Linked DNA regions of Cricetulus griseus. The protein of the gene in region 2 interacts with the protein of the main gene of each other region in a biochemical or structural test. Links are inferred from orthologs where the notes say so. Each region holds a gene or a part of one and is shown on either strand. Other genes may lie near its edges.

Evidence for each region.
Region 1: the proteins of Csnk2b (region 2) and Tnfaip1 form a complex in vitro, tested with the Homo sapiens proteins (2 studies listed by BioGRID, with this or other methods). The link is inferred for Cricetulus griseus from reciprocal best matches to the Homo sapiens genes CSNK2B and TNFAIP1.

Annotation. Positions count from the first base shown.
Region 1 is NC_048600.1:91,908,850-91,924,013, forward strand, and holds the end of Tnfaip1 (BTB/POZ domain-containing adapter for CUL3-mediated RhoA degradation protein 2), read right to left. Parts: intron 13,140-15,164; 5' UTR 13,025-13,139; coding exon 12,820-13,024; intron 11,814-12,819; coding exon 11,644-11,813; intron 11,266-11,643; coding exon 11,176-11,265; intron 11,100-11,175; coding exon 11,047-11,099; intron 10,311-11,046; coding exon 10,115-10,310; intron 7,920-10,114; coding exon 7,683-7,919; 3' UTR 5,170-7,682; downstream 1-5,169. Other genes in the region: Poldip2 (polymerase delta-interacting protein 2), read left to right, coding at 180-316, 1,042-1,068, 1,268-1,393, 3,352-3,431, 4,016-4,130. UniProt on the Homo sapiens protein: Substrate-specific adapter of a BCR (BTB-CUL3-RBX1) E3 ubiquitin-protein ligase complex involved in regulation of cytoskeleton structure.
Region 2 is NW_023276806.1:231,636,977-231,652,140, reverse strand, and holds Csnk2b (casein kinase II subunit beta), read left to right. Parts: upstream 1-6,366; 5' UTR 6,367-6,515; intron 6,516-7,068; 5' UTR 7,069-7,079; coding exon 7,080-7,151; intron 7,152-7,666; coding exon 7,667-7,769; intron 7,770-8,542; coding exon 8,543-8,658; intron 8,659-9,036; coding exon 9,037-9,112; intron 9,113-9,238; coding exon 9,239-9,428; intron 9,429-10,670; coding exon 10,671-10,761; 3' UTR 10,762-10,897; downstream 10,898-15,164. Other genes in the region: CUNH6orf47 (uncharacterized protein C6orf47 homolog), read right to left, coding at 1-704; Gpank1 (G patch domain and ankyrin repeat-containing protein 1), read right to left, coding at 2,825-3,269, 4,196-4,812. UniProt on the Homo sapiens protein: Regulatory subunit of casein kinase II/CK2.

The DNA.
Region 1 (15,164 bases), on a different chromosome or scaffold from region 2:
ACCATGCCTCTTAGTACTTAATCTCAGTAGCAGCTCTGTACCTTATTCCATCCTTGCTTTTGCTGTATGTGTAGTCTCATTCCCTTGGGCATAACTGGGAAGGGGTTTCTGGGAGGGACAGTTGGAGAATAGGTGCTGTGCACAGGACTCTGGTCTGCACTAATGTGTTGTCCTTCTAGCACCTCCTTTTGTGGCTCGAGAAACACTACGAGCCTGGCAGGAAAAGAATCACCCCTGGCTAGAGCTCTCTGATGTCCACCGGGAAACAACTGAGAACATCCGTGTCACAGTCATCCCTTTCTATATGGGCATGAGGGTATGTGCTAGCCTGGGCTTCTTCCTGCAAGACTAGGCCCCAGATTCTGTGTGGTATCCCTGATACGAGTGTTGGGATGGGGTGGGAGTATATCTAATCCTAAACCCTACCCTGTGGGGTTGAGTAGCCTCTTGATAATGGCCAGCACCATGACTTAGAACAGGAAACCCACAGATCAGGAAGTAATCCTCCATGCCTTCCTTCTGGTAGAGACTCCTTGCGAAAAATATATACATATACTTGCCTAAATCAGTGTGGACTGATTATCACATTTTGTGATTAGTAGCCAAATATTTATTGATCTGTGTCTTGCCTCACTCCAGGCTAGGCCTCCAGATTCAAGTATAAATGGAAGACTTCTTGCCTGTTAGGACTCAGTCATAGGGAATGTCAGCATCTATCAAGCATGGTCATCAGAGGGCTGTAAGGAGAATGACAGGGGCCCATGTGGCAGTGATGGGGTCAGGGCTGGCAGGGAGGCTGGTGAGAACAGAGCGCTGTAATGGATTTCTGTTGGCATCCAGCTCTGTTGGTTTTAACAGGATTGGAGAGGGGGCGGAGCAGGAAGGATGCGGGAGGCTGCTGGCCATAGTTGTATCACATTCATCATTGGCTCCCAGACATTCACAGCTTGATCAGTCTCTGCTGCGTTCCAGGAATACTTCATTTGAGATGTGTTGGTTGGAACAGATTTAGTCTCATCCTCAACCCTTTTCCCCCTCCAGGAAGCCCAGAATTCCCACGTCTATTGGGTGAGTGTTTCCCTTGGTGGGAGCTCAGCAAGAGCCTGGGGGAGGTGTGGAGACAGTGTGCACCTCGTGGCCAGGGTGGATGCAGCCATCCAGCACTGTAAAATATAGATGTCAACTTTGTTGCTGTTTACTCTCTAGAATTCTGGTTGGGCTGGCCCGAGAGTTATTCTTCCTCAAACATGATCTCTTTTCCTCACAGTGGCGCTACTGTATACGCTTGGAGAACCTGGACAGTGATGTGGTACAGCTTCGGGAAAGGCACTGGCGGATATTCAGTCTCTCAGGCACCTTGGAGACAGTTCGAGGACGAGGAGTGGTGGGCAGGGTGAGCATAAGGGGGCCACTGGCCTAGTGCTGGTCCTGCTAGCAGGCCTAGGAACTTTGGGTGTGTTTTCTTCCTCTCTGGTCCTGCTAGCAGGTCTAGGAACTTTGGGTATGTTTTCTTCCTCTCTGGTTGTGGACAAAGTGACACACTGGGTTGTCTGTCACTAGAAATCTTACAACAGCCCTGCGGGGTAGCTTGTCTGTAACCTGTTTCACAGATGAAGAGTGAGACTTAGAAGCTAATTAATAAGGGATAGGGGAAGTAGCTCTTGGTAGAGTGCCTGCCTGGCATCATGGATTTGACCCTAGCACTGCATAGACTAGGCATGGTTTTATGTAACCATATTCTTAGACTTGGGAAGTTTAGGGTCATCCTTGACTGCCTGGGATACACAAATTCCTGTCTTGAAACACATACCTCTGGAAACCTGGCCCTCTCCAAGAGCAGCAAGCTCTTTCCAGTCCCAAAGCTTAGTACTCACTGTTGAGCAGCATGTCTCATTAGTCTTTCCACTGTACTCCAACACTTGAGGTCAAACTCAGGCTTTGTGCATGTTAGGCAAACACTCTGCTTATATCATACTCAGATGGCATGTCTTTTAAAACCCTGAATTTGTGGGAAATAGAGTCAGAAAGATCAGAATTTAAGGCTATATTTGGGCTACATAGAAAGTGTGAAGCCAGCAGGGGTTACATGAGACCCTGTTAGAAAAATAAAATATGGGCTGATAAGATGGCTCAGTAAGTAAAGGTGCTTGATGCCAAGCCTGCTGACCTGAGTTTGAACCCTGGAACTCACATGGTGGAAGGTGTGTACTGACTCCCTCAAAGTATCTTCTGACTTCCACATATAAGACACACACACACAATTAAACACCTTCCCTCAATAACAAACAAAAGAAGCACTTTCTGATTTTGGGACATGTACCAACTGTGTCATGTCTCTTTTTGTATTCATCCATTCATCTAGTGTTTCTTTCTTCTCTGTGGCTTTGGAGGCTGTCCTGAAACTGGCTCTTGTAGACCAGACTGGTCTTGAACTCACAGAGATCCTCCTGCCTCTGCCTCCCAAGTGCTGGAATTAAAGGCGTGCGCCACCAACGCCCAGCCCATCTAGTGTTTCTTAAAGAGATTTGATTTTATGTTCCCTGTCTATCCTACCCTGTCTCTTGAGATATTAAGTCACAAATGGTACTAGTGTCATCCAGCACCACTGTTAGAAGACACTTGGGAAAATGGGGTCAAAGAAAACAATGTAAACAGGGTTGGACTGTATGTGGCACACATCTGTAGTCTAGTACCCTGGGAGTTGAGGCAGGGTTATGGTGAGTTTGAGGCCAAGTTGGGCTACATGGTACATCTTTGAAAAACAAATTCCAGCTATATACAATATAACTTTGAGGCAATTTTTTTTTTTTTTTTTTTTTTTTTTTTTTTTTTTTTTTTTTTGCTGGAGACCAGTTTCTCTGTGTAGCCCTGGCTATTCTGGAACTTACTTTGATCCATCTGCCTCTGCCTTCCTAGTGCTGGGATCAAAAGTGTGTGCCCCCACGCCTGGCTTGGGCAAATTATATAATCCACATCTGTTTCTTGTTGCTAAAGTAGGGATTACATGTAGTACTTCATGGTCACCAAGAGAATAAACTCAGCAGGCAGAAGCCCTGCTGTTGTGCCTGGCACTTGTTCATGTGAGTGAATGCAGGGAGAGATGTTTTCAGAGAAAGCCTGCCTAGCACCTTCCCTCAGTACCCCCCAAACCCCCACCCCCAGTTTGTTTTTCCTAGAGAGGCTCAGGGCACCGCCCACCCTGTGAGAGGAGTACTGAAAGATGGTCATTGTAGGTGTGTGTGTGTGGCTGTATAGGTGGGAGGAGTCATCCAGTCAGTATCTGACAGCCCCAGGATGGAAGGAATGTATTTCTGGGCCTTGGCTTGACCAATTTTGCCTGAATTCTTTTAGGAACCAGTGTTATCCAAGGAGCAGCCTGCATTTCAGTATAGCAGCCATGTCTCCCTGCAAGCTTCCAGTGGGCACATGTGGTGAGTGAGTGTATGCTGGAGTATATTCTGCTCAACTCCACAGACAGCTGCTAGTGAGAACTGGGGAGACTGCACTTGGGAGACTGAGGCAGGTTTATGAGACCCTATTTCCATTCATGCCAACAATAACAAAGTGAGGACCCTGAGCAAGCTAAGCTTAGGGTCAGTTTACAAGAGTGAGGTCCTGAGATGGGCACACTGAATAACACAGGTGTTATTCATTGCTGTGGGACTATCTGGTTTTTATGACTATGAGTTCCTTACAATTTGTGGGCTAAGGAATTAGATCCCAAGACTTGGGACTGTACTGAATTGCTCATGTAGTTGGGTTTCCCCCTTAATCTCGAGTAAGGTGGTTTGCTCATACAGCACGTATCCAAGTGGCAGAATCTGAATAGTTGTGCTTCTGCGCATGGCCACATTGGGCTCTTGGATCTTTGTTTATTCTGCCATGAACTAGGCAGATGACAAGGCCACCTTCCTCGGGCGCTGTGGCTCTGGATCAGAGGACATGGGTGCACACAGATCAAGAGGGCTTTCAGTGCAGCCCTTTCTCCTTTTAAAGTGGCTTCTCTGATCCTTAGGGGCACATTTCGTTTTGAGAGACCCGATGGCTCCCACTTTGATGTCCGGATCCCACCATTCTCCTTGGAAAGCAATAAAGATGAGAAGACACCACCCTCAGGCCTTCACTGGTAGGCCAGCTGAGGTCCTTGAGTGCCCAGGTTGGGCTCCTCAGAACAGCTCTTAACCCATAATTGCTGCAGAACTCTAAGTCTCTCCCTATTATGGGCTTCTTAATTTTGGGATTCTTTGTTTGGAGGGAGATTGTAACTTTTCTTGGAAGACTCACCTAAGACTCCTCCAAGGTCAGCCCCGCCCGGCCCTGCCTACACCACGTTCCAACAAAGCTGTCAGGGAACTGTGTTCAGTTGTCACGGGTTGTCTGGAATGTGAGCCATGGTCAATAAACCAGTGCTCACTTGGCCATGCTGGCCCTAGGGTCTCAGGCTCCCTTGTTGACCCTGTGGGAACTCTTGGCTGTTTTCCTGCAAAGTCTCTTCTAGGAAGCTGCTGCCTCTGTCTGCTAGGGTGTGTCTTCCTCAGAGACTGGACATCTCCAGGGTACACTGGCTAACAGTGGGCTGTGCTGCACTGGACTAAGTTCTCAAGTCTCTTCGTTACCTTCCGCCCAGTATAGAGGAGGCCAGGAGGCCAGCATTTTGGGTTCGAGTGCCCCTGACTGTAAACACTGATTAGCCACCAGCATCTCTGGCTTCACTAGGCCTGGAGAAGAGTGAGGCAAAACCAGTCAGGTTTCCCGGAGCTGTGAGCTTCTGAGCATTGAGCAAAAGTCTGTCAGACACCCAAACCACAAGTGCAGGAATTCAGCCAAGAAGCAGCTTAAGTTATGGACAGTGACCAAGCCTAGCCGCTTTCCCAGCTTCTGTCAGATCAACAGGAGGCAGAATTGGGCTGCATTTTGTCCCAGTTCTCAGGGTTCCTTCACCACTTGTCACTGTTAGAGGTCCTTTCATTCTTGCATTATTAAATCTCAGTTCCAGTCCTTGTGAGTATTGTTGTTAATCTTCCGCCTGGGGGAGTGTGGGTGTGTAGGAAAACAAAGGAATGAGTCTTCTGACCTTCTAGAATACAGGTCATGGAGGGAACAGAATAAGAACTGAGCCCACAGCTGTGAGCTGGCCAGGCTCTACTCACTAGAAACATGGCTCAGCTCCATGGCAGTGTAACACAATTTTATTAGAAGTTAGTGTTTACTTCTATTGCTTAAGGGAAGCAACCAAGGATTGCAGGTATGCAGTAAAAGACACAGTCTTTCATGCCAGAACCTGTGCTACCCTTTAGGTAGACCAGTCACATCAATCCCAGGTTCAACAGAGCCTGTAGATTCATCCTGCCAAGAGCTACTGTAGGAATAGGACTGGAAAACCCACAAATCCCTAAGCCATACAGTCCAAGCAAAAACGCTCAGATCATTTCAGTTAGTGTTTTCCTTAAACCAAGGAGATGTTTTCAGTCAAAGATGATGAATACCCAGCCCTGGACTCTTGCTGCTGTGCAGGCCCAAGGACTAGACACCACTGATACGGGTGTCAGAGCACCAAGTAGAGAGGCTAAAGGGGATATGGAGGTCAAGGAACAAACTGGAAATATGTAGCATGGAGCTGGGACTCTGAATACTAAAGGGCTTCTTGGGGACAGCTGAGAAAATAGACCAGTGGCCTCATACAACAACATTCCAAAGTTTGTGGGAAAGCCTCAAAGCTAAAGCCTAAATTTGGTCAAAAAAATGGATTGTCATCTCACTTCCAGTGAGTTCTGGAAGAACTAGTAGCTGCTGATCACCAAGGTGCTTGACCTGAGCATCTCAGAGCTGTTTATACATTCAAGACTGTGATTAACACCAAATGATTACTAAGTCACGTTTCCCTTGCTCTATCATGTCATGTCAGGGCCTTGTGAGAGCCCAACCCTAACCCTGGCATCTGCCTATAGGCTCTGAGACGTGAGCTATGTGCAGCCGTTTGGCAGTTATGAGAGTGGTCAAGGGATGAAGCTGACATTCTGTGTTCTGTCCTGAGCACTGTTGATGGCCACACACTTTGTCAGGCTTGCAAACAGCTTCCTCCAGTGACAACATTCCTCTGGAAAGAATCCAGTTAGGAGGGCCAGGACCAGCAAGAAGGGGAGGAAAACCAAAGCCCAGAGGAATAATTCACATCCAGTCTAGACCTTGGTACCTCCATGGTCAAGTGACCCAAAAGAAATAGAGGCCTTTCAAAAGGCTTAAGTTGCCCTGGTTACTATGTATTTGGAGACTCGTCACTAAACAGAACCACTACCTAGAGCCAAACCATAAACCAAGACATGATGTCAGGAGCTGGGCAAAAGTATGGCGAAGCCTGGGCCACATCTGTGGGCATTCCTGGCAGCATGTGGCTATAAGAATGTGCCTTCTGCTGCAGCTGTGTTTCTGGCCTGCATCACAGCCTCTGGCTTTATGGTCTGTGGGGACAGCATGTCTTAGAGCTGAGCATACCCAAGTATGAGACCCAAACCAAACTATTGTGTTAGGTCTGGGTCAGTGATATGACCCTACAGGGGGTGAGATATCTTTTCCCATAGGGTGCTATTAAAATCATGGGCTCTACTTGGGTATCCTTCCCCTCCTGGTGTTCTTTGGGCTGCCCAGTCAGGTTGACAAAGCCAAAGCTAGTCAGTTTGCTTTTTTCTTGAGACAGTGTCTTCCAGGCTAGCCTAGAATTTTAACTACATAGCACAGACTGGTCTCAAACGTATGATCCTCCTGCCTCAGCCTGTGAGTGCTGGCATTATAGCATGTGCCAGACTCCTGAATGACAGACATACAAAGTGCTTTAAAGATGGGTTCTAGGGCATTTAAAGGGGTAGTGTGTGTGTGTGGGGGGGGGGGAGGAGTCTGCCTAGGTGGGGTCCTGGCATCCTGCAGGGTAACAAATGCTTAGTTCTAGGTTCTCCCTCATCAGGCTAGAAAATAGTCATTTCCTAGATACTTTGTGTGTGTGGCAGTACTGGGGATTGAACCCAGGACCTCACTCATACTAGGTAAGTATTCTACCACTAAGCTATGCCACTAGCCCTCTTTTTAAAACTTTGTATTGAGACAGTATCTTGCCAAGTTGTCCAGGCTAGTCTATAACTTGTTTTCCTGCCTCGGCTTCTCCGTAGCTGGGATTATAGGCAAGGCCACCATGCTAACTTCTAGATTTAAGAACAAAAAAAAAAATCAGGTCATACCTATGCTTAAACACCTTAAGAAAAAAAGAAGGCTGCTCTTTCTGTTCAAAATTGGATCCTTGCAGCACCAGGAGCCTCCTTTCCCATAGGACAGAACTGTTCCCATGGGCCTCAGCTGAGGAACTGAAGGAGCTCTTCAGCAGAGAGAAGGGCACTAAGCCAAGGGCCTGGGGAATGTTCTCCACAGGAGGTGGAAGTCAGTGCACTCACCCTAAAGTAGCTCCCTGCCAGGCAGGAAGTGGGGTGGCATCTGGAAGTGATGGGGGGAGCAGGACCAGGTAGGGCAGTGTGACCTTTCCTCTGCCGGGCTCCTTGACCTCCCAAGCAGGGCCCAGCACCACTATATGCTAGAGCAGGCTCCCAGCTCGCAGGAGCAGCATAGGATGGCCAGTGGGCTATGTTCCACAGGATAGCAGACATGGCTTCTTGTGCTCTGACTTCCTAAGGGTCTCATTAGTCTCGATGAGCAGACTGGTGGCCAAGTTGCCGGTCATCGTAAGTGCTATAGCGCTTGACGTGAATGCGGCGGACACGGTCCCGCAGTTCAAAGGCATCCTCATCTTCACTGGGGGAAGCTTGGCTGCGGCTCCGGCTTGTGGCCTCCAGCAAGGAATTGTCAGGGACTCGAGGGGTCTCATAGAGTAGGACGTTGAGTGTCTCCTCATATATTCGGGCCTCTGGGAATTCCACCTGGGAAGAAGGGAACAAGATGGAGTGAGGTCTCATTTCATGAGGAAACATTAGGGCTCTGAACCTTGTCTCTTCCATGAAGCCTCCTAACTTAGAAGTCAGGTAGCTGCCTGGCTAACAAGGGAAGCATCAGGGGACATGAGAATATAGATAAACGCAACCCTGCATCCCCACCCCAATCCACAACTAAAGACTATCATCATGGGTACGTACAGGTACAAACAACTCTGTGGACAAGATGCTATGTCTTGGGCCTGAGCTTTCTGGGCTGCAGTTTCTATGTGTGTAAAGTGATGTCAATTGCTACTTTCTTTGCTTTTGTTTTGAGACAGGGTCTCCTTATGTCCCAAGCTGCCCCAGATTCAGAATCTTCCTACCTCAGCCTTCTGAGCACTGTGATCCCAGGCATGCCTGCCAAGCTGAGCTAACACCTCTTGAGATTTGTCAACATTAAAAGAAAGACGTACATTCTTTAGCCCAGTGAATAGCCTGACACAGTAAACAACCAAATACATAATAAAAAGCAGCTGCTGCCAGGCGGTGGTGGTGCACACCTTTAATGCCAGCATTCAGGAGGCAGAGATAGGTGGATCTCTGTGAGTTCGAGACCAGCCTGGTCTACAAGAGCTAGTCCCAGGACAGCCTCCAAAACCACAGAGAAACCCTGCCTCAAAAAACCAAAAAAAAAAAAAAAAGCTGCTTAGCCAGGCTGAGTGGTACCTACCCATCTGTAATCCCTGCCACCTGAGGCAGGAGGATGGAGACTTTGAAGCCAGCCAGCCCACCTGGTGAAATCCATTTCAAAAAAGGGGTGGGGGAACAGAGAGGATAGTTCAGCTGATTAAGGTGCTTGCTACCAATCCTGCCAACTTGAGTTTGATCCCAGGACCTGAATGGTGGAACCCAAATGGAGAGAACTCTCTGGGCTGTCCTGTCATCACCCACCCACACAAATAAATGAAGTAATTCTAACAAACAGTTCCACTGCTTCTCTGACCCAGAAAGCCCCACCCCTAGGGTCAATGTTGAGGGAAGAGATCAGGACCCCAAAACTGTAGCACATCTGTCACACTGAGCTGCTGTGCCTTCATCTCAAGTGGAGAGAAGGTTCTAGCTGGGCAAGTCTTCTAGCTGGGGTGTGGAGGGTTAGGGGAGCACACAGAAGAAGGAAGAGAGCACCAAGGAAGAAGACTGGCACTGCTACCTCTGCTGTTACTCAGGTCCTGAATCCTGACTCCACTTTCACAGCCTCTTGGCTAACTCCATGCCATCTTTGTCTCTACCCCCCACTGCCAAGAACTGCCACCTCATATAAGCTGTCCTTTGGACAGCCCTCAGCAGATCACTCAGCCTGAGGCAATGTGGCAGTCTGGGGCTAAGGCTCTTGGGTCTGGATGCTTGCGCCCTTTATTCCCCCTTTTTACCCAGTAAAACCCTGCCATCTCCAAGTATATATTCTAGGGAGGATACCTGCTGGTCTCTTCAGGAAGGGAGGAGATGAATCTACATAAATTGTCCCCTACCAAGTAATTCACACAGCTGATTATAGTTAACTATATCTGTAACCCTAGTCCTAGTGGGCTGAGGCAGGAGGAATGCCAGGTGTTTGTGGCTAACCTAGGTTATATAGCAAGCTCCAGCCTGGGCTTCTGTGACCCTGTTTCAAAAAGAAAAAGTAAAAATAAAAGTTGCCCTGTGCTCATCTGGCACATCTGGCTCATCTGTGATGTCATTCCATGGGCTCAGGAAGCCAGCTGGCCAGCCTGGCTGTAAGAGCAGTGTTGAAGTGGAAAGCTACACACCGTGCTGCTTTGGTACCCTTGCCATGTACTGGCTAGACTCAGACTCATTCCCATATCTTCAAGCAGGGAAACAGACCAATGGCTCCCCAAAGTCAGACAACTAGAAGTGGTGGGACTAGAACTGCAACCTGAGTTGTGACAACTTCAAAGACCTGGTCCTTCCATGGCACCAGAAGGTTGCTGGTCAGTGGGCTTCTTTTTCAGCAACTGTTAACAGCTTCTGACCATTCCCAAACCCCTTTGTTCTGACTCTGTCCTACCTGGCACCATCATACCATGGTTTGGAAAGTACACGTGGCCCTTTCGTTACTGTGGGAAGGGCGCATTGGAGCAATACCAGTCGTCAACCCTGGAGTCTGTGTGATCTGTCCCCTATCAGAGGAAAGATCATACCTTTGTCTGCTTCTTCTCTGTGGCATACACGATGGAGGTGCAGCACACCTCTGCCAGCTTGCGACCCTGGCCATAGAAAGACCAGCAGCAGATTTCATCACCAATGACATCCTTGATGAAGAGCACACGGCCATTGAATCGCAGGGACAGCTTGTCAAACAGCTCAATGTTTTTCAGCAGGTGATCATCAGAGTTGCTGAAAAAACCAAAGGGCCAGCAGGCCTGGAATGAGGTTCCAACAAGCAGGGCTGCCGGGACATTCTGGTTCTCCACGCTGCTCTGCCCACCCCTACCCTATCATGCTAAAGTGAAGACAAGGCAGAGGGACAGAGAGGCAGAAAGGAACCTGTAGGACTTGGGGCTTGTGAGGAAAGGGGGTGGAACTGGCTCTCGGTTCAGCAGAGAGCACTGAGAGAAAGAAGTAACCCCTCATAAGCGTGGAAGGAAGGGCCCCTCTCTGTTACTTCAGTATACTGTTCTTTTGCTGTGGGCTGATGCAGGGTTCACAGGGGACCAGGAGAGTCTAGATCCATGTCTGCAGCCACCTGGGTCTACCTAACCATAGCCTGTTATGGGGACACAGTGAGGAACACCAGCTTCAGGAAGACTCCGTCCATGACTTCCTAGCACCTCTCTTCATCCACTAAAGCAATGGGGATTAAAATCCCTGGCACGTTACAGGCATGATTAACATTTTATCATTTATATCCCAACCAGGATTATATAACAAATCCCAAATGCCTCTGTCCTGAGTTCCCTTCCATCTCTGTTCATTGCCCTTAGCAAAGGTGGTTTCAAAACCCAGCCCCATGTTACGTGTGTTGGGAATCTGTGAAGTCCCTTGAGCCACTGCCCACGCCTGCTCTGGTTGCTCAGCCCTTTGGCTGCATTTGCCGCCCTCCCCAGCGCCCTAGCAGAGATGCCTGCCATACCTGGTGTATGAATACTTGTTATTGCTCCTGTTGTATAGCAGCTTCACCACAGGCTGTGGGAGAAGATGGAGTAAGGGTTAGGCCAGGAGCCTGGTGTCCCCAGACCAAGGTCCTAAGAGTGCCCAGTACCTTTGTGGAGGATTCGATGAGCCTGTCCTCTTCTCTCAGCGATGTGATGATGGGGATGTTACACACAGGCTGGTAGGAGTCTTTCTTGTCCTGGGTGACACACAGAGCAGAGAGCTGCCTTTAGGATCTTGTACCCCTCCAGGCCTTGCCACAGTCACCCCCTGCCTGGTAAGGAGGTACCAGACGGACCATGATGTTCTTGGTAATAGACATTGCCAGTTAGTAAGATCTCCACTGCCAGAAAATATGAAGCTCGGATATCTAAGTGAATGAACTAGGGGCACAGCCTGCTTGTGCTACCAAATGTGAGTATCTAGCAGCCGTTTGCTCGGGCCTGGGAGCACCCCATTGTTCTATTTGGGTTTGGACTCATCAACCTCATTTCCAATACAGCTTTCCAGGAGCCAAACCTAATGTCCCCAGAGGAACAATTCCCAACCTCATTAGGTCACCCAATTCTTCCCATACCTGCAGGGCAGACTGGCACATGTTCACTAGCCCCTGAATGAGGTAATATTTTGCTTCAGCCATCAATTCCTGGATTTCTTGCCGGTTTTGAGGGAGGGTGATGGTGTCATCTCGGAGGTAATTCAAGATGGTTCCAAAGTGCTTCCCACATCTGTCTATGAGGATCCAGCCTAGGAATTTAGAGGGATCCCATAGGATTACTGTTAGCCTCCAGCTGTGTTTTACTGTTTGCCTTCAGGCAAACGCCACCTGAAGAGAGGCAGCAGGCAGCAGGATGCAAGGAAAGGAGCTCCGTGAGAGAGTGCAGAGCCCAGACCAGGGGTGGCAGAGATTTGGCCTCAGGTCGGTGCTGCTTTTCCCTATCCTGAGTCCAGGAACTCTGTGCCCCCGAGAAGAGAGAGGTCTTCAGGGGTCTGTGCAGGACTGGATGTCTAAGCTTGGGGGAACTCAGGTCAGCCCAGTAATACAGAAACCACCAGTCTCTGCTTACTTTTGCCCACTGCCCAGGCTCTACTGTGTTTATGACGATTTTATTTGGATACCTATACATATCTCAGCCTTTTGGATGGTTTTTTGTTTTTCAAGGCAGGGTTTTTTATGTAGCCCTGGTTGTCCTGGAAAACACTTTGTAGACCAGGCTGGCTTTGAACTCACAGAGATCCACCTTCCTCTGACTCTTTGAGTGCTGGGATTAGAGGTGTGTGCCACCATGACTGGCCCATATGTCACCTTTTGAAACAGTCTTGCTGAATTGTCTGGGTTAGCCTCAGATTTGAGATTGAACTGCCTCAAACTGAGTGTTGGGATTACACGCCTGTGCCGGCATTCCTGGATTGAGATAAAGTTTGTAGCCTAGGCTGGCATCAAAGTCACTATGTAATGGAAGTTGGCTTCAAATTTCTGATCCTCCTGTCCCCACCGCCAAATGCTACGGTTACAGATGTGTGCTGCCACACCCAGCCTGAATATTTTTTAAGTTTGGACTTTTCCTCCGGATGACACATAAACACACAGCATTCTATGTACACTTTCAAGGAATTCTGGAGCCCTATTAAGACTTGTAAGAAGTGAAGTGGAAAAGTTAGATTCTGGGTCTACTGAGCCTTGCCCTGAGGTCGTCGAAGGATGCCCCTTTCTCTCCTCCCTTGCCCAGCATGCCCAGATACAATGCCTCACCTTCTTTGTCGGTCAGCACCTCCATGCGCCCACTGAACATGGCCTTGAGCATAGTGTCATGCCGGGTGAGGGCCCGCACTGTCGTGTAGTACAGGGAGCCGCCCACATTGAGCTGCACGTACTTGTTGCCCAGGCCGCCTCCCTTGAAGCCATTTATCTTGGGCTTGGCCCCCGAGGCTGGGCATAGACAGGTGTCCCCTGACATCTCCCGCTGCAGGTAGATCACCACACGGCAGGCGGTGGGCTTGGAAGGCTCTGCCGTGGTGGAAGTGGTTACGAATGAGTGGCCCACAGAGGCCAGGGACTCATACTCTTCAGTGCTGTAAGCAAAAGGTAGAGAGAACACGGAAGTCAACAGAGTAGAGATCACAAAGGAGGAGGGGACAGCAGTAGGAACTCTGACACAGTTTACCTTCTAGATAAACCCATGTACTCCCCAGCAGAGGCTAAATTCCTGGGTGTGCTGGTTAGTTTTTTTGTCAACATGACACATGCTAAAGTCCTTGGCCTGAAGGAAAGCCTGCAGGAACATTTTCCTAATTAAGGATTGATGGGGGCTGGGCAGTGCCATCCCTGGGCAAGTGGTTCTGGGTGGTATAAGAAAGCAGGCTGGGCAAGCCAGTAAGCAGCATTCCTCTATGGGCTCTGCTTCAGTTCCTATCGTCAGGTTCCTGTCACCAGTTCCTTCCCCGACTTCCCTTAGTGAAGAACTATGACCTGGGATGTGTAAGCCAAATAAACTCTTTTCTCCCCGAGTTGCTTTTGGTCAAAGCTTTTTATCACAGCAATAGAAAGCAAACTAGGATACTGTGTGACAATAAGAATGACCCCCTATGCTGTTCTCACAGTACCAGGAGCCAGGTCTGGGAGCATAAACTCCTCTAGGCTCAGTTCTGCTTTGGGTGGCAAAAAAATCCTTAGAACTAAGAACAGATGAATAGATCACCTTGGGATCCACCACACTGACTCCAGAAAATGTTTTCCCAAGATTCCAGACTTTCCAGACTAACTGACTGGGAACCTAGCCAGCCTAGGAGTTTCCCAGGAACCAGAGGGACAGGATGCATTTCCTGTCTCAGGAGTAGCCTGCTCCAGGACTCAGGTTAGCACCAGCCAAAGGAAGCCTGATCCAGGAAGGAACATGAATGTGGTTTTAAGAGATTGGAGAAGGCCAGCTTTGGAGGCAGCCAGCCAGGGAGCTGGCTGTGTGTGTGTGTGTGTGTGTGTGTGTGTGTGTGTGTGTGTGTGTGTGTGTCTGTGTGTGTGTCTGTGTGTGTGTGTGTGTGTGTGTGTGTGTGTGTGTGTGTGTGTGTGTGTCTGTGTGTGTGTGTGTGCCCGAACATGAATGTGGTTTTAAGAGGAGAAGCCAGCTTGGAGGCAGCCAGCCAGGGGCTCTGTGTTGTGTGTGTGTGTGTGTGTGTGTGTGTGTGTGTGTGTGTGTGTGTGTGTGTGTGTGTGTGTGTGTGTGTGTGTGTGTCTGTGTCTGTGTGTGTGTGTGTGTGTGTGTGTGTGTGTGTGTGTGTGTGTGTGTGTGTACTCGAACTCCCATGGGGTTTCCCGACCCTCCCCTTTCTTAGCATCAGCCTTGTCCCAAGTTCCTGTAATTGTAACCATTTTTCAAGGCGGAACACAGGATGACTATTTTGTTGCTTTTTCCTGAGAGCCCAATCTCTCTTCTTTTCCTTCCTACCATGAACGGGGAGAACAAACATGATGATGACCTTAAAAATGATTACGGAATGTGGAAAGTAAAACACTAACAGTTTGGAGACCAGAGAAATAATTATATTCTAAGTTCTAAACCTATAAACCCTGAATTAAAAACAACAAAACACACACACACACAAACCCCCAAAAGATGGAGTCCTAGATGGGCATAGTGGGACAAGCCTTTAATCCTGGCACTAGGGAAGCAGAGGCAAGAGGCTCTCTGTGAGTTCCAGGCCAGCCTGGTCTACAGAGGGAGCTCCAGGACAGCTAGGACTACACAGAGACCTTGTATCAAAAACAAACAAAATTGCATTTTTACTGAATGGTTACAGACTTACTGTGGCTACCATTCCCTAAACAGCATAGTGTAACAACTATTTGCATAATATAGATACAACTATGTGTATCATACTTTATATATTTACATAGTATTAGGTACTTTAAATAATCCAGAGATGATAGAAGAAATTCAGGAGGATATGCATGGATTATATATGACAACACTTAATGAAAGGGACTCAACCTAAGATTTGGTATTTGCAAAGAACCTAGAATCAATGCCACACAGACTTGGAGGGATAATTGTATTAGAATGATGGTGATGATAGTTTTTTTTGAAACAAGTCCCTTTATTA
Region 2 (15,164 bases):
GCGGTGAGCAGGCTCAGCACAGCGTGGAGCCCATGCAGGGCCGCCAGGAAACACAGCAGCCCGTGCAGCCACAGGCCCACAGGGCCTCGAAGGCCCAAAGCGTCCAAGACAGCTCGAAGGGGCCTGGAGCACAGAGCCAGCAGGGCCGAGGCCAGCAGCTCCAGCAGGTGCAGGGTCAGGTTGGTGGAGATGTGCAGATACTCCTCTGGGTCCCGCAGGTAATTTGAGGGCTCCCCCGGGCCCCCCCGAAGCCAGCGCAGCAATTTCTGACGTCGACCAGGTTTCTCCAATACGGCTTCTGGTCCGGCGGTGCCAGCTCCCCCGTGGGGGGGCCCGCCATGGTTCTTCGCGCCACCTGAATCCAGCTTGGGAATGGGTCCTCCAGTCTCCAGTCTTGAAGGCTCTTGAGCGCTAGAGACAGTCTTGTCCCTCTCGAAGGAATCCTTTCTTTTGCCTCCTGGATGGTCCACTTGGTCCTCCCTGTTCGTCCCCGGGGCAGCCCCAGGGGTCCTCGGTTTCCCTGCATCCTTGGTCTTGGGAGGCCCCGCATCTCCCATTGTCTCCGGGGCACTGTCCCAGTCGCTGCCCGAATTCTCGGGGGAGCTGTCCACCCATCTGGTTTCTGGGGCAGGCAATTCAGCCTTTGTTGATTTCCTGCGGCCCCAAGGTCGAGGTAGCCAGCTGCCAAGTCTTCGCAGGAACATGCCTGAACTGTGTGACGAGCCCCTCCAAATCTGCCACCACTTCCTGACTGCGTAAGATGCTCCTGGGGAACTATCTCCTCAGAAGCCGGAATTGTTCCGGTTCGGAACAGGTATCGGCTTGGTGATGTCGTCCTAGTCTGAATTCAGAAAGCTCACATAGCCCCAAGTGTGGTAAATGGCCCGCTTCCTTGTCAGTTTAGGGGAGAAGAAATCCATCTGCCACCCCACACACTCACAAGACTTCCAGGGCCTTATAAGGCCAGGGTCACCCCCACAATGTCCTGTGTTTTCAGATTTCCTTCCCAAGCAGTCAGCACCCTAAGTTTCACTCACCAAGGCCACACCCCAAGGTGCCCCAAAACAGGGGGGAGGTGGTGCTCCATCGCAGAAGGAAGGAAGGTGGCCCAGAGTCCTCGGTCCTGAATTTGAGGGGCCTCTGCCCCTCTGCCCGCGGGAGCTCAGGGAGCAGGAAGTCCCGGGAGAGAGGAAGGCGGGATGGAAGTGTCCGGCGAGCTGCAGCCAGTTGCACGCATTCCTTAACTTAGGAGGCCACCGCTCCACCAAGCGGCCCCACTGTCCCGCGCGGGCGCAGCCGAGACGCACGCGGCCTCCGCAAGGTCACACCAGAGACGTCCTTGGGGATGGCAGCCCCGAGGCACAGGGCAGGCCTACCTGGGGACCCAGGGTCCGGGCACAACGCCGGGGCCCAGCGTCCGGGGAGCGGCCTCCCGGAGGCGTGCGAGCCCGAGCCCGGAAGCAGCTGTACCGGGTCGGGAGGGCCCGGCGGGGGCGGAGCCCCGCAGCCAGGGAGGCGGACCCGGCAGAACGACCTCCCCCGAAGCCCCCGCGATGCACGATGCACGAGCGCACGAGCGCAGGCGTAGACGGGATCGGCTAAGCCAGACCCTGAATGCCAGCCCAGTTCTGCTCTTCTCCGCCCACCTCCGCCCGTGCTTCCGTGCTTGGCTTTTTGTTTGGGATTTTGGTTGTTTTAAAAGACACGGTCATCCCTATATAGGTAGCTCAGGAAAGGCCTGGGCATGTGTAGCCCAGGCTGGCTTTGAATTGGTCCTTTGCCTCGGCTTCCCTACTGTTCTTCTGCACACCCCCGGCCATTCCTGGTCCAGAAAGGTAACTATCAGGAGACGCGTGACCTAAGCAGCTGCCCTTTGCCCTTCCTGACCGGGACTTGTAAGCTTTCGTGTTCCTAGCACTTGGTATGAGCATTCCAAGTGGGTGTGGGTGCCAAGTAGGGAATAAAAATGTAACAAAACGTGCTGCCTGTTTTCAGGGTGTGAAATGGGGTCCCAGGGCTGCCTGTGTTAGGACTAAGGATGTAACTCATACCTGCGCTTGCGTAGCAGATCCGAAGCCCTAGGTTACATCCCCTACTCTGCAAAACCGGCTGTGGAGGTTCACAGTTCAATTTTGACATTCCAGAGGTAGTTGGATCTACATAACAAGTTTGAGGCCAGCAAATTGAGACTGTCTCAAAACAAAAAAAGGAAAAGATCATCTTCAACTTTGTATTTGGGAGGTCAGAGCTCTGGTCCCAGCTAGGATGTCATACAGGTTGGATAATGTTAGGTCACACTGGCCATTCCTGCAGGACTCGACTTCCCTGTCACCAGGGTATTACATTTAATCACAACTGGCCTCCTCAGGGAGTTCAGAACTTGAAGGTTTATTTTCAGCATATAGCAAACTTGGTTTGTGACAAACATCACTGAATCGACTAGATTGGCCCAGAGATCTATTGAAGGGGAGTCTGCACAGAACCGGGGAATTCCTAGCTCAGGGGGGTTCCAAAGAACAGATATTTGCAGCCAGCAATGATAGGGGTTCTCTGTCACCTGGAGAGCTTGCCCTTTATGGCTTGGGTGAGGCTTCCATGTGACTCAGATTTTCTCCAGTGCTCTACAATATCATGCAAGAAAGTAAACAAACCATAATGAAGGAAGTTTATTTATCTCTCAACTCTCAGCCCTTCTCTCTAGAAACAGAGGCCAAGTGCCAAAACCTGAGGGTCTGGTATCTGGGCAGATCCCAGGAAGTACAAGTTCAAGTGCCCATGTCAGGGGTCCAAGTCCAGCAAGTAACAACAGGCTGGACCGAACCAGTCATAATTCAAGGTTCATGTACAGTCTCAGATTTCGCTCCCAGGCTCTGTCCTTCTCTTCTCTCTTTCTGTTCTCCCTCTGACTTAGTGTGGCGACTCGAGGTACTCTTTCTCTCCCAGACACAGCCCGGGTATCCCGAGCTGGGAAATGTGTGACTCGGGGTTGGGGTGCAGGTCTATAGCCCAGTCCTTCCTGGTCCTGCTTGAGGATAGTGGGAATAGGGTTGGCACGGCCTTCACCCCGGGGTCCTAGGCCCATTCCTGGTTCCCAGCCACCCCTCAACAGCAGCCTGAAGCCAGGACTGGAGGTGGGCACCCCAAGGGGAAGGTTGGAGGGATGGGGACTCCTAGACAGTGACAGCAGGTGAGCAGTTGATGTGCGGTGGTTGGAGTCTTCAAAGTGGGCACCACAGTCCTCGCAGAACTGGGAGGCGGTGGGGGGAGACCTGCAGAGAAAGAAAGAAAAGTTACAGGGAAGGGAAGAGAAGGGAGACAACGGAAGCCAAGGCTGTTCAGGCACCTGGTGGAGCAGGGTGGCACACTTCATGCCTTACTTCTAATTTTAGCATCATCTTTTTGCTTTTTTCCGAGACAGGGTTTCTCTGTGTAGCTTTGGAGCCTATCCTGGCACTTGCTCTGTAGACCAGGCTGGCCTCAAACTCACAGAGACCCGCCTGCCTCTACCTCCCGAGTGCTGGGATTAAAGGCATGCGCCACCAACGCCCGGCTTAGCATCATTTTTGTTTTATCTTGCGTTGGATAGGCACCCCGGGGTCTTCGAAGTGTTAGCCAAGTGTTCCACTGCCAAGCTATACCAGCCCCTCTCCATCTGTGCAGAGGGACCATTTGGGATACCGTGAGGTGGACCTCAGCTCTTAGGAATAATGAGTAGAGCTAAAGCTTATTTTTTTTTTTTTTTTGCGGGGGAGGTTGAGACAGGGTTTCTCTGTAGCTTTGGAGGCTGTCCTGGAACTCACTCTGTAGACCAGGCTGGTCTTGAACTCAACAGAGATCCGCCTGCCTCTGCCTGCCGAGTGCTGGGACTAAAGGCGTGCGCCATCACCGTGTGGCGAGCTGATGCTTATGACCACACTATGTGACAGCCACTGTTCCATCACTTTCCACATTAACCTGCTGCATCTTAACGACTGCGAGACAGGTGCTTATCCCCACTTCTCAGACAAGGAGAGGTTTACAGACATTAGGCTGACGTTGCAAGAAAACGAAGCCAAGATTTAGTGAGCAAAGACCATGGCCATTGTCGCTCTGTGACAGGAACTAGCTACACTGGAGGATGAAGAGCCCCCGAATGGGGTGTCCAGGAAAGGCAGAACACAATAAAGGTGGGTATGAGCTAGCGCTCCCTCCTCACCGGCTCTGGTTCTCGGGGCTCCTTGTCTCTCCACGGCTCTCTCTGACCATGCGGGCCACCTCAGGGAAGCCCGCTTCTTCGGCCAGCTGAGCAGCATCTCTGCCTCCCAGCTCACAGACTCCTACCCAGGCAGCACCCCGGTCCAGAAGATAGCACACGGCAGCCGCTTGGCCTGCTCTGGCGGCGCACATCAGGGGAGTCCACCAGAAGGCATCGCGTGCATTGATGTTCCCTCCAGCTCCCCCTGCCTCCCGGGGTTCCAGCAGCCTTCGAAGTTCTGTCAGATCCCCGTTCTGGGCTGCCAGCAGGATCCACTGGGTCATCCTGTCGTCATCCTCTGGTGGCAGTGGCCTTCCTTGCCCCGAGGCTCCTGCTGCCACCGCCGCAGCCTCCCTGGTCCCTCTCCTTTTCCTCCTCTTTTGTCCTCTGACAGGGCCAGCTCTCTGGGGCTTAGGGGAGCTACTCTCATCTGCAATTAGAGCCTCGTAGAAAGCCCGGGCTGCGGCCCCATCCAGGACTGGCCCTGGCTTCTCAGGCTGTGGTTGCTGCTGCCCATCTTTCCAGAGGTCGCTGGAGTCGGTGGCTGGAGTAAATGCGATGAGGGACGGCCTGGACATGGCTTTGGGGAGAAACGAGGAAAGAAGGCTGGGAAAGGCTGTGATGAACACTCCAACCCGATGTAATGACCAGCACCACCCCCAGGGCCTGCTGGGATGAGAAAGCCGCCTAGAACTAAAACAGACCTCTCACTCCCCGACCCTAGGATCTTGTAGACCCCTGGAATGGCAGATGCTGAACAGATGTTAATTAAGTATCATGAGGGCATGGTAGATTAGGTTCTTTGTAGAATGCTCGCCTCGAATTTGGGAGGTCTGGGTTCTATCTCTACAACAGGAAAGAAAAAAAAAATGATAATAGGAAAGAATGTTCCCCCAGGCACTTGTCTAGGGGCCCTGCGTTCTACTCCCTTCTCCCTTCAAACAAAAACAGCAGGCTGTCTCTGAAAACCTTTTCCCACCCTGTAACACATACCGTTAGGGAATATCGGCCGGGACTTTTAAATCTTGCTCGATCTTACGTGGGGCTGGGGGGGGGTGTCTCCTTTTCCCAAAGAAAAACAGGCGTGACATCATTCCAGAAGGTGTCGGGGTAAAAGCGTTGCACTGTCACTTCCGTACCGAAAAATGGCGCTCTCGTCATCTGCAAGAGTTGACACAATCCGACACCCACCTGGCACAGAGACGCATGCGCAGCAGCCAACCACAACAAAACACCCACAAGGTTCAGTTTCCCGCGCTGGAACCTTCCCAAGCATCCGCGTCAGGCATCGCGTGCCCAGACAGCGCGAGGGCCCAGGGGGACCTGTCGGTTGGGGTCCTACTTTTACATAACGCCCCCACAATGCTCTTCGCCACCCTCGACGTGGTCCCTCCCGCTCCAAGCCCCTCTTGTGGAGCCGGGAGGCCTGAGGACGCCAGGGAGCCGCGGGATGCCGGGCAGCCGCGAGACGCGCTAACACCACGGCGCCCCTCACCGCTACTCCGAGCAGGGCTCGAAGAGCAAGCAGCTCACGTGGGGTCCGCAGCAGCAGCAGCAGCAGCAACAGCAGCAGCAGCAGCAAGCAGCAGCAACACATGGAGAAGTGCAAAGGGATGAGCGGCAGAATGGCAGGCGCCACCTCAGGTTAGCGCGCGGGGCGGTGCAGCAGGTCCCCCGCCCCCGCCGCCCGGCTCGGCAGCCCAAGCCCTGCGACCTCAGCCCCGCACTCCGAGCCGCACCTCCGGGCCGCATGCCTGGTCCTCGGCGACGGTGTCAGTCCCCGGGGCGGCAGGGACGACCGGAGCGGGACGGAGCGGGCGCGCAGCGGGGACCTCAGCGGCCGCCGGCGCCGGCTCGCAGCCTGCCGAGCCCAAAGCGCGTAGGACTATATTTCCCAGGCTTCCCGGTCGGGAAGGCGGCTGTAACCTGGCTTCCGCTTCCGGTGGAGGCTCGGCTCGCCCCGCCCCCAGGCGGCTTCCGCTAGGGCCTCGCGACCCCGGAGTCATGCGCGCGGACTCTTGGGATTGGTGGTTCGCCGTCCCCGCATCGCGTCACTTTCTGCCTCTCTACGGGACTCCATTTCCCGGCGTCCCTAGGGGCAGGGGCGGTCCTCGGCGCCTGCGCGTTGCCCTCTCTCCCTCCCCACCCTCCCCAGTTCCCCTTCCCCCCTCCCCACTTCGCCTGCCGCGGTCCGCTCGGCTTCCTGCGCTGTAGCGGTCGCTGCGGTTCCTTCGAAGCTCGGCTCCCCTTCCCCGCCCCAGTCCCAGTCCCCGTCCGGCCGGTGAGTCTGCGCTCGTCCCCGCGCCGCGGCGCCGGGCTCCGCGCTCCGAGATGTGGGGGCGAGGAAGGAAGGGACCGGGTCGGCGGCCGAAGGAGGCCGGGTGGCCTGAGGAGAGGAGCGGCTGTGGGGACGCTCGTGGGTCCCGCGGGGGTGCGGGGCTCCCGCCGGCGCCGCGAGGCCCCGAGAGGCGGGCTCGGGGGGGAGGATGGACTCGGGAAGCCTCGGGACGGGCGCCAGGCGAGTGCCTCGGTGGGGCCGCGCGGGCCGCGCGCGGCCGGGGGCCGGGGGGCCGGGGGGCCGGGGCCTGGCCTCGCGCCGGGCAACACCCACAGATCGGGACCTGTCACCCCCTGGGAAGGAGTGGAGCTGGTTCTCACCACGCTGTCGGGGGGCTGAGGTAAAGAAGAGAGGCGTGGAGAGCGGTGCTTCACGGGCCGGGGCCACTCAACGCCAGTGGCCTCGGATTCCTCCGCCGTTGAGGAGACCGTGTGTGTGGGAGGAGGGAAGAGACCAAGAAACAGCCTGGTCTCCACTTAACGCCCTTCTTCCTCAGCCGACGTAAAGATGAGTAGCTCTGAGGAGGTTTCCTGGATTTCCTGGTTCTGTGGGCTCCGTGGTAATGAGTTCTTCTGTGAGGTGAGTTTAGCTGGCTTTCTGGGCCCTCTCCACGTGCCCTCGGTGTTTTCGTTGTATGTTGTCTGAGATGAGATTTCCCCCGAAGCTGACTGTGTAGCCCAGACTGTCCTTGAACTCCTGGCAATCCTAGTGCCTCAGTCTCCTGAGCGCTGGGGTTCACTCTGTGCATGGCTAACAGAGGTATCGCTGGTGACCGTCAGGAAAGTTAAAATGTTTCATGTAACATGAAAACCACAGTGTGGTAACGTAGGAAATGATCAATGCCTGTGAGAGTCTGATGTCCCAGAGCAGAGAGCAAACCCGGGTCCTTTAGAGGAGGGAGACAAGTTGAATAATGCGCTGTACCTTGTTGGCCCGGAAAGAAGAGAGCTGCGGTTTCTGTGGGAGACGGAACACCTCTGCAGAAGTGAGAATAGGAAACAAGGGGAGCCGATGCGGTCGTTTGTCTCCTGGGCCAGGTGAAAGACGGGGCTTCCCACACTAGTTTCAACCTCTTGACTCCCCTGTCCCGGTAGGTGGATGAGGACTACATCCAGGACAAGTTTAATCTGACTGGACTCAATGAGCAAGTGCCTCACTACCGGCAAGCTCTAGACATGATCTTGGACCTGGAGCCTGGTAACGTGCCTGCCCCCAGGGCCGTCGCTGCGTGTGGGGTCCATGATATGTGCACTTGTGTGTGCTTTGGTTTCTTCTTATTCTGGTCTCTGCTCGCTTGCTTCTTGAATTTTTCTCTTTTCTTTTTCGGTTTTTCCAGAAGGGTTTCTCTGGCCTTGAACTCACAGAGATTCACCTGCCTCTACCTCCCGAGTGCTGGTGTTAAATGCATGTGCCACCACTGCCCAACCGCTTCTTGAATTTCTAAATTTCCTTTTGATTCTCTAGCTCTTCTGTCTATTCCCGAGTCTCTTGCTCGCTTGTTTGTTTGTTTATGTGTTTTCTCCCCCACCTCTCCTCTCCATTCATAACCCAAACTGGACTTTACCACTTGCTCTTCCTGCCTTGGCCTCCACGTGCTGGGTTTTGTATGGCACATACACCACTGCCTGGCTTCTTCATTATTTTGATTCCCTACCTGACCCTTGCCTTCAGGGACTGGTAACATTTGTTTCCATGCTCTCCAAATGTAACTCCACTGTCTCTCACAATGCCAGTCTTCTGGTGTGTTGTGTGCTGCTGCTTTCCTCCTGCTGGTCTAGAGTGCCACCCTCTGCAATTATGTTTATGTGTTGGGAAGGGGAAGAAGCTGGCAGAGACTAGAGAGGTGTGGAGAGAGGGCAGTGCTGATGGCCTGGGTGATGGATAGGGTGTGTCAGAAACAGGTGCTGGATAAACTGTAGGAGGCCACCTTGGGGATAAGGTGGGGTACAAGTGGCCATCCCACCTTTCAGATGAAGAGCTGGAAGACAACCCCAACCAGAGTGACCTGATTGAACAGGCAGCGGAGATGCTTTATGGGTTGATCCACGCCCGATACATCCTCACCAACCGAGGCATCGCCCAAATGGTGAGGCTCTGCTCCTGCTTCTGAGGCAGTGAGACAAACAGGTGCATGAGGCAGAAGGCATGTTTCGTACCTGTCAAGAAGTCTAGCAGAGGAGACGAGGAGAAGCCCAGAGCTGGGCTGAGAATCCAATCCTCACTGAGGGTCCTACTGAAGGTATTGTTTTCAGGGAGGGAGATGAGGCCATGGATAGGGAACAGAGAGAGCAAATGGCCCTTGTGTTCTGCAGCCTGCCAACTTGAGGAAAGCAGTTGAGAAGGAAGCTTGAGGACCTGTCTTGACAAAGAAGGGCTTCTAGTTAGAGGTGGGAGGCCTGGGAGGTGGGGAAGTGAGGTGCTCTGCACACGTACTCACCAGTCCCTTCCATTTTGCACACCTCAGTTGGAAAAGTACCAGCAGGGAGACTTTGGCTACTGTCCTCGTGTGTACTGTGAGAACCAGCCAATGCTTCCCATCGGTGAGTGTTGGAGAGGGGAGAGGAGGGCACTACTTGCCAGTCAGGTTGATGTGGTCAGTGCCTGAGCCCTGTGGGAGGGTGGGAGGACTTGGGGTACCTGGTCTTCAGGGTCTGGCTGTGTCCCAGGCCTTTCGGACATCCCAGGCGAGGCCATGGTGAAGCTCTACTGCCCCAAGTGCATGGACGTGTACACACCCAAATCATCAAGGCACCACCACACGGACGGCGCCTACTTCGGCACTGGTTTCCCTCACATGCTCTTCATGGTGCATCCAGAGTACCGGCCCAAACGACCTGCCAACCAGTTTGTACCCAGGTGGGGAGCAAAGACAGCCACAGAGAGTCAGAGAACGATCCGAGATCTTGGGAGAATTGAAAGACAGTCACAGAGAGTCAGAGAATGGTCCAAGATCTTGGGAGAATTGAAAGACAGTCACAGAGAGTCAGAGAACGATACGAGACCTTGGGAGAATTGAGGACAAACAGCCCTTTCTTAAGGCCTGCCTATCCCAAAGTCTGGGCTTTTTCCTGCTGAGTGACTGGGGATCCACCTGAGGCTCATGCCTCTGTTTTCTTACGCGTAGAGCAGGGTTGCAGATGAGAGCTGCTACTTGAACAGTGGCTACTGCTGCTGACATGTTAGATGCTCAACTTTTTGCCAAAATCCTCAGTTTTTGTGGTTCAGTATGGCTTATCGTCCCTATCTTATTTTTGCTGTGTACCAGGGAAGAAAGATTCCATAGCTCCTCAGATTTGGAATTTCCTGTGTGGGATGGGGGTTTAACCCAGGGCCTCCTACCTGCTAAGCACAAACTCTGTTTGAGCTATACTGTCAGTGTGGATTTTTGTTTGGTTGGTTTGGGTGGGGTGTGTGTGTGTGTGTGTGTGAGTGAGTGAGTGAGTGAGTGAGTGAGTGAGTGAGTGAGTGAGTGAGTGAGGATGGGGAGTGTTTGACAAGGTCTTTGTTGGTTGAGTTGGCCTCAAGGGATCCTTCTGCCTCTGCCATAAATGAGACTACAGATCTGCACCACCACTGCCTGGACTGGAATTTGAATTTTAGTGGATGTTTAAGATACATTTTTAAGAGGGCTGGAGAGATGGCTCAGCGGTTGAGAGCACTGGCTGCTCTTCAGGGGCCCTGAGTTCAACTCCCAACAACCACATGGTGGCTCACAACCATCTGTAATGAGATCTGATGCCCTCGAGGAACATGCAGGCAGAGCACTCATATACATAAACCAAAAAAGATACATTTTTAACCTGGGCATGGTGGCACATCCTGGTACTTGGGATGCAGAGACTATTTGAGGCCAGCCTGGTCTACAGAGTTAAGTTCCAGGGCAGCTAGGGCTGTTACACAGAGAAACCCTAACTCAAAAGGGGTGTGTGTGCATTTTCAAGTACTCATGAGGGAAAAAAATCAAGTATTCATGAGCAAGGAAGTTGTCGAACTATTGAGTAGGCATGAGGAGGAGGCTGGGGTAGTGGTGGGCTGCCAGCCACTGGAGGGCCAGAAGGTAGCTCACCCTACTGCCTCTCTGACCTCTGCCCGGCCCAGGCTCTACGGTTTCAAGATTCATCCAATGGCTTACCAGCTGCAGCTCCAAGCCGCCAGCAACTTCAAGAGCCCAGTCAAGACGATTCGCTGACTCCTCGCCCACCCATCCCTCTATCTTTAACACCACCATTCCTTTGCTTCCACCCTTTCAGGAAGTCTATGGTTTTTAGTTTAAATTAAAGGAATAGTTATTGTGGTGGGAACATGAAATAAAAAAGAAAAGGCCGTGAGCTGTCTGCTGGTTCTTGTTGCTGGGGAGGGCTGAGGAAGGGAAGGTGGTGGTGTGCGGGACTCCAGGGATCCTCATAGCTTAGGCCATTGCCCGTGGCTTGGAAACAGCACAGCTTCTTGGATTTGGTAATGTTAGTAGTTAAATATACCAGAGCTGCATTCGGGGTTGGGTAGGGGCAAGTACAGGATTGGAAAGAAAAGACTTCAGAGACTAGAGAAACACCTGGGCTCTGTGGCTGTGTGTGTTTCTACTGTAGGGGCTTCATAAGAAGTACTCTCAGGTTTGCTACTAAAGGAAATGTAACCCTAAAGTAAATAGAACTGCAGGGAAGGCAGACAGCCACAACTGTTGATCTGCTATCTGTGTGTCCATCTGGGAAGGATGGGGGCGCGTCTCTGGCCATCCTCCCCCAACATAATAGGAAGCAAGCCTGTTGTGTAGGTGGACAGCAGGTAGGGCCCAGACGGACGCCAAGCCGTGGCCCTGGAAGTGGGGGTACAAGTCTTCCAGGGCATGTGTAGGATGAAGACACCTGATAAAGATCCAGCCCGAGCTCAGCTGTTGCCCACATGGGAACCAGGCCTTGTGGGTGAGGACACGCCTTCCTGCCAACTGGTAACTTCTTCCAGGTGGGAACACAGCAGTTTCTGCTCAGACTACCTGTCAAAACTGTTCTGCCTCTGAGGATTAAGGGGTGTGATCCCAGGAAGGTGGGGTTTGACGTATTCCACAGGAGCTGTTCCTCTTGCTCAGAATCCCACAATGAAGGCCTGTGTGCTAACCATGGTGTGCTGACCGTGGTGGGCTTTGCAGTGGGCAAAGGTAAGGGCCGAGGCCTGGGAGGAAGGGGAACTGAACTGGGAAGGGTAGGCCCAGGGCCCTGGGTCTGTGTACCAAGCTCCAGTTGCTGATATTCGTACCCGCCACTGCTGGTGCCTCTTGGAAGACCCTTCCATGGGCTTCATTTCTGGTCAGAAAAGTGCACCGTCAGCAGTTCATCCCCTCGTGTGGTTATCACGGTCTACCACAGAAAGTCCATGGAAAGGGCTGCTGGCAGAACAGTGTGGCTTGGTCTTCTCCCTCGTGACGGTTGTTGGGATCTTGGAAGAGGGTGTGTGTGCAGACAAGTGAGTGAATATTTTATTTTTAGCCTCTTCTGAGAGTACATAGGATAAAATCTGGTCTGCATGAATGCTGAAGAAAGTTAGGTTTGGTGGCTGTGGGAAGCTTTTAACAGGGATTACAACTGTCCCCTCCCCTCGGGTGTTCAGATTCACTTCCATGTAGGAAGCTGTGGACAGTACAATTCCTACTGCTGTAAAGAAAAGCACAAATCTCCTGTCTCCCAGGCTACTGGTGTAAGGCTGACTGATGTCAGGACGATTACTGCAACTCTTGGTCCAGTGCCCAGCTCCAGAGTCCTCGCCTGGGCCCCCAAGAAGACGTCTGGCCTTGCCCCTGTCTGAGTCCCAGATATACCAGTTCTACCAGGCCCTGGCAGCCCTGGAGCTGGGTGTGTCCATGGCTGACCTGCGTCTCATACACTTGTCCCCAGCTTAGGACTTGTGCTTCCTCCCCAGACTAGACCCTGGCCCGCTCCCCTTCCCAGATACTGCTCTGCGGCCCTTGAGCACTCTGGGTCCTTGGGTGCCAGTGCTGGCTTGTCTCCCTCCTGTTGCAGAGCCTTAGGTATGGCTTCTGCCCGTGAATGTCCCTGTCCTCACGTGCCCTCAGTCTGGTCACGTGTGACAGCTCTTTATCCTGTCTTATGCCCTGAGCCTCACAGCCAGGCTACCACAGGAAGGGCAAAGGGTGACTTCTGTGCCGATTTCCTGGTGTGGCAACCTGTCTGCCCCCTCCCTGACCTCACTTCACCTAACTTGGTGACTGGTGGGGGGGGGGGTCAGGGGCTGTTCTGCTTAGTCATGTAGCCCGTTTCCCTCCATAATAAACCAAATCTGCTGTGCGGGCAGTGGGGAGGGTCAGGTTCAGATGTGGGCAGGCCAAAGAGATAAGTGTGGGATTCAAACAGGATTGCTAAATCTTACCCACTGTACCTGGTCTTTATGGCTTCCTCAAATTACCCTGAAAGGCCACAGCCTTCTCCCTCTGCTCAGCTAAAGACCAAAGCACGCGGACAGGCTCCCCACTTGAACCCTCAAAACCTGGAACAGTAGTCCAGGTGGTGCTGGCTTTTCACCTGAGGAGAAACTCATCCACATGTATTGAGCAAGCTGGTTCATTCCAAGAATCCCGAATATGCAGCTTGCTAGAGGCTGCAGCTGTTAAATCTCCATTTTAGTAGTTTGAGGTTTTTTTAAGATGAGGTCTCCTGACCCTCCTTCCTCCACCTTTCAAGAGTTAGGATTATCACAGGTGTGTGCTACCACACGAAATACTGAAAATTTCTGGTCACATGGTGGTGCACACCATTAATCCTAGCACTTGGGGCAGGCGAGTCTCTGAGTGAGGCCAGCCTGGTCTACATAGTGAGCGCCAGGACAGCCAGGGCCACATGATAGATCTTGTCTCAAAACAAACGAATAAGAATAAATATTGAAAACTTTGAAGCACAGAGAAAGTCCTCAGGGGTACTTATGTTCTGTCCGTTCAACAGCATCAGCCAGGCTTTGAGTACCAGCACTGTCTCGGGTGGGCATAGTCAGGCTCGCAGCCTTGCACTTAAGTGCTAGAGCGCTGTGGCCCCAGGTGTGCTGCCCGGGAGAGTCGGTTCTGTAGCGTGTGGAGGTGGGACGCCTCAGGAGAGAGGCGATGGATGCACAGGTGTGCGTGCTCATGGACAAATGTACATAGGGACTTGCGCTCTGTTTTGGCTTTTGTGATCAGGCTGGCCTCGATCACAAGGCCATGCTGCCTCAGCCTTTGTGTACTGAGAGCCGCCATGCGAGCCGCCTGCTCTGTAACCTTGCCAGCACCCGGTGGATGCGGCCTTCATGTCCCTTCCTGAGCACACCTGACTCAGGTGATGGTACACACCTGTTGAACAGACAGAACAGATGGACACATTAGGAGAATCTGGAGTTGGAGGCCAGTAAGGGGTATACAACAAACACACACATACCCCCTAAGGAAAAAAATCCACAACCTCCTCCCCAGATTTACACTGCTCTTCCTGGTCAGACTGGGAGACAGACAGGGTTAGGAAGAGACACTAAACCAGGGAGTGGAAAGCAAGGTTCCTTGTTCCCTCGAGCGCCACTGTCTCCTTCCTAGTTCCCCTTGGTCTACCTCATTGCTCATGTCCTGTATCCTGCCGATGTGGCCTCTGGACCTCTTGGCTGTCCCCCACGGAGGAGGGAGCTCTGATCTGACAGCACCGCCTACTAACTTAACCGACCCCACCTTCACCATCTAAGTGTGTCGGGTTCCTCTTCAGCTTTGTATCTCTGGAGTTCAGTAACAGATGTCAAGGCAGGGTAGGAGAGGAGCTCAGCCCCTTGATGGAGCAGTCTGACCCAGTTTCCAAGGCCTTCCCCACATTAGAAGAGGCAAACTAAACACTTTGCAGATTGTTTATTTGGGGGGAACTGTAAAGATTCAGACATTAAGCCAGCCTGCCCCATCACCTGGCAGAATGCACCAGGCAGTGCCCTGGTCAGCCCAGGGTTCCGTGAGTACTAGTCTGCACGCGGGTGCAAAGGACCCTTTACAAGACAGACCCTGCCCGATTATGCTCTCTTCCCAGCTCTTCTCTTTCCCCCACAGTTCCCCTGGGGCAGACAGGACTTTTCCTGACCCCTCTTCTCTTCTGTCGTCTCTCTCTCTCTCTCTCCCTGTCTCTTTACCTCTTTTCTCTTTCCTTCCCCCTCCCCCCCTTCTAATGAAACTTCTCACTTAAGCTCTGTCTGCCTGGCGTGTTTGTCCCTCTGCCTCCGACACCCTCACCCGACATGGAATCTGCCAAGGTCCCCCACGCAGGCTTCCCTTCAAGCTTTATCATAGCAGGAACACCTAGGAACTTTGGCTGACTGAGAGAAGGAGCTGGGGAAAGAAGGTGGCAGAGTGGGGTGTGGATGAGGAGAGGCCAAGATGGCCGCTGAGAGAGCTTTGGAGTTGACCTGCCTGGGTCCATATTTGAATCCGGAGAGTGGCTGAACACAACAGTTCCTGGTGTCCTAGTACGTACTTTTTTCCTCCTGTTTGTTGGATTGTTGCAGAAATCTCAGAAGCAGTGTTGGTAGACTATCCAAAAGCCAAACGCTGGGAAGGCAGGGGCGTGTGAACAGGCCTTCACCTGCTCC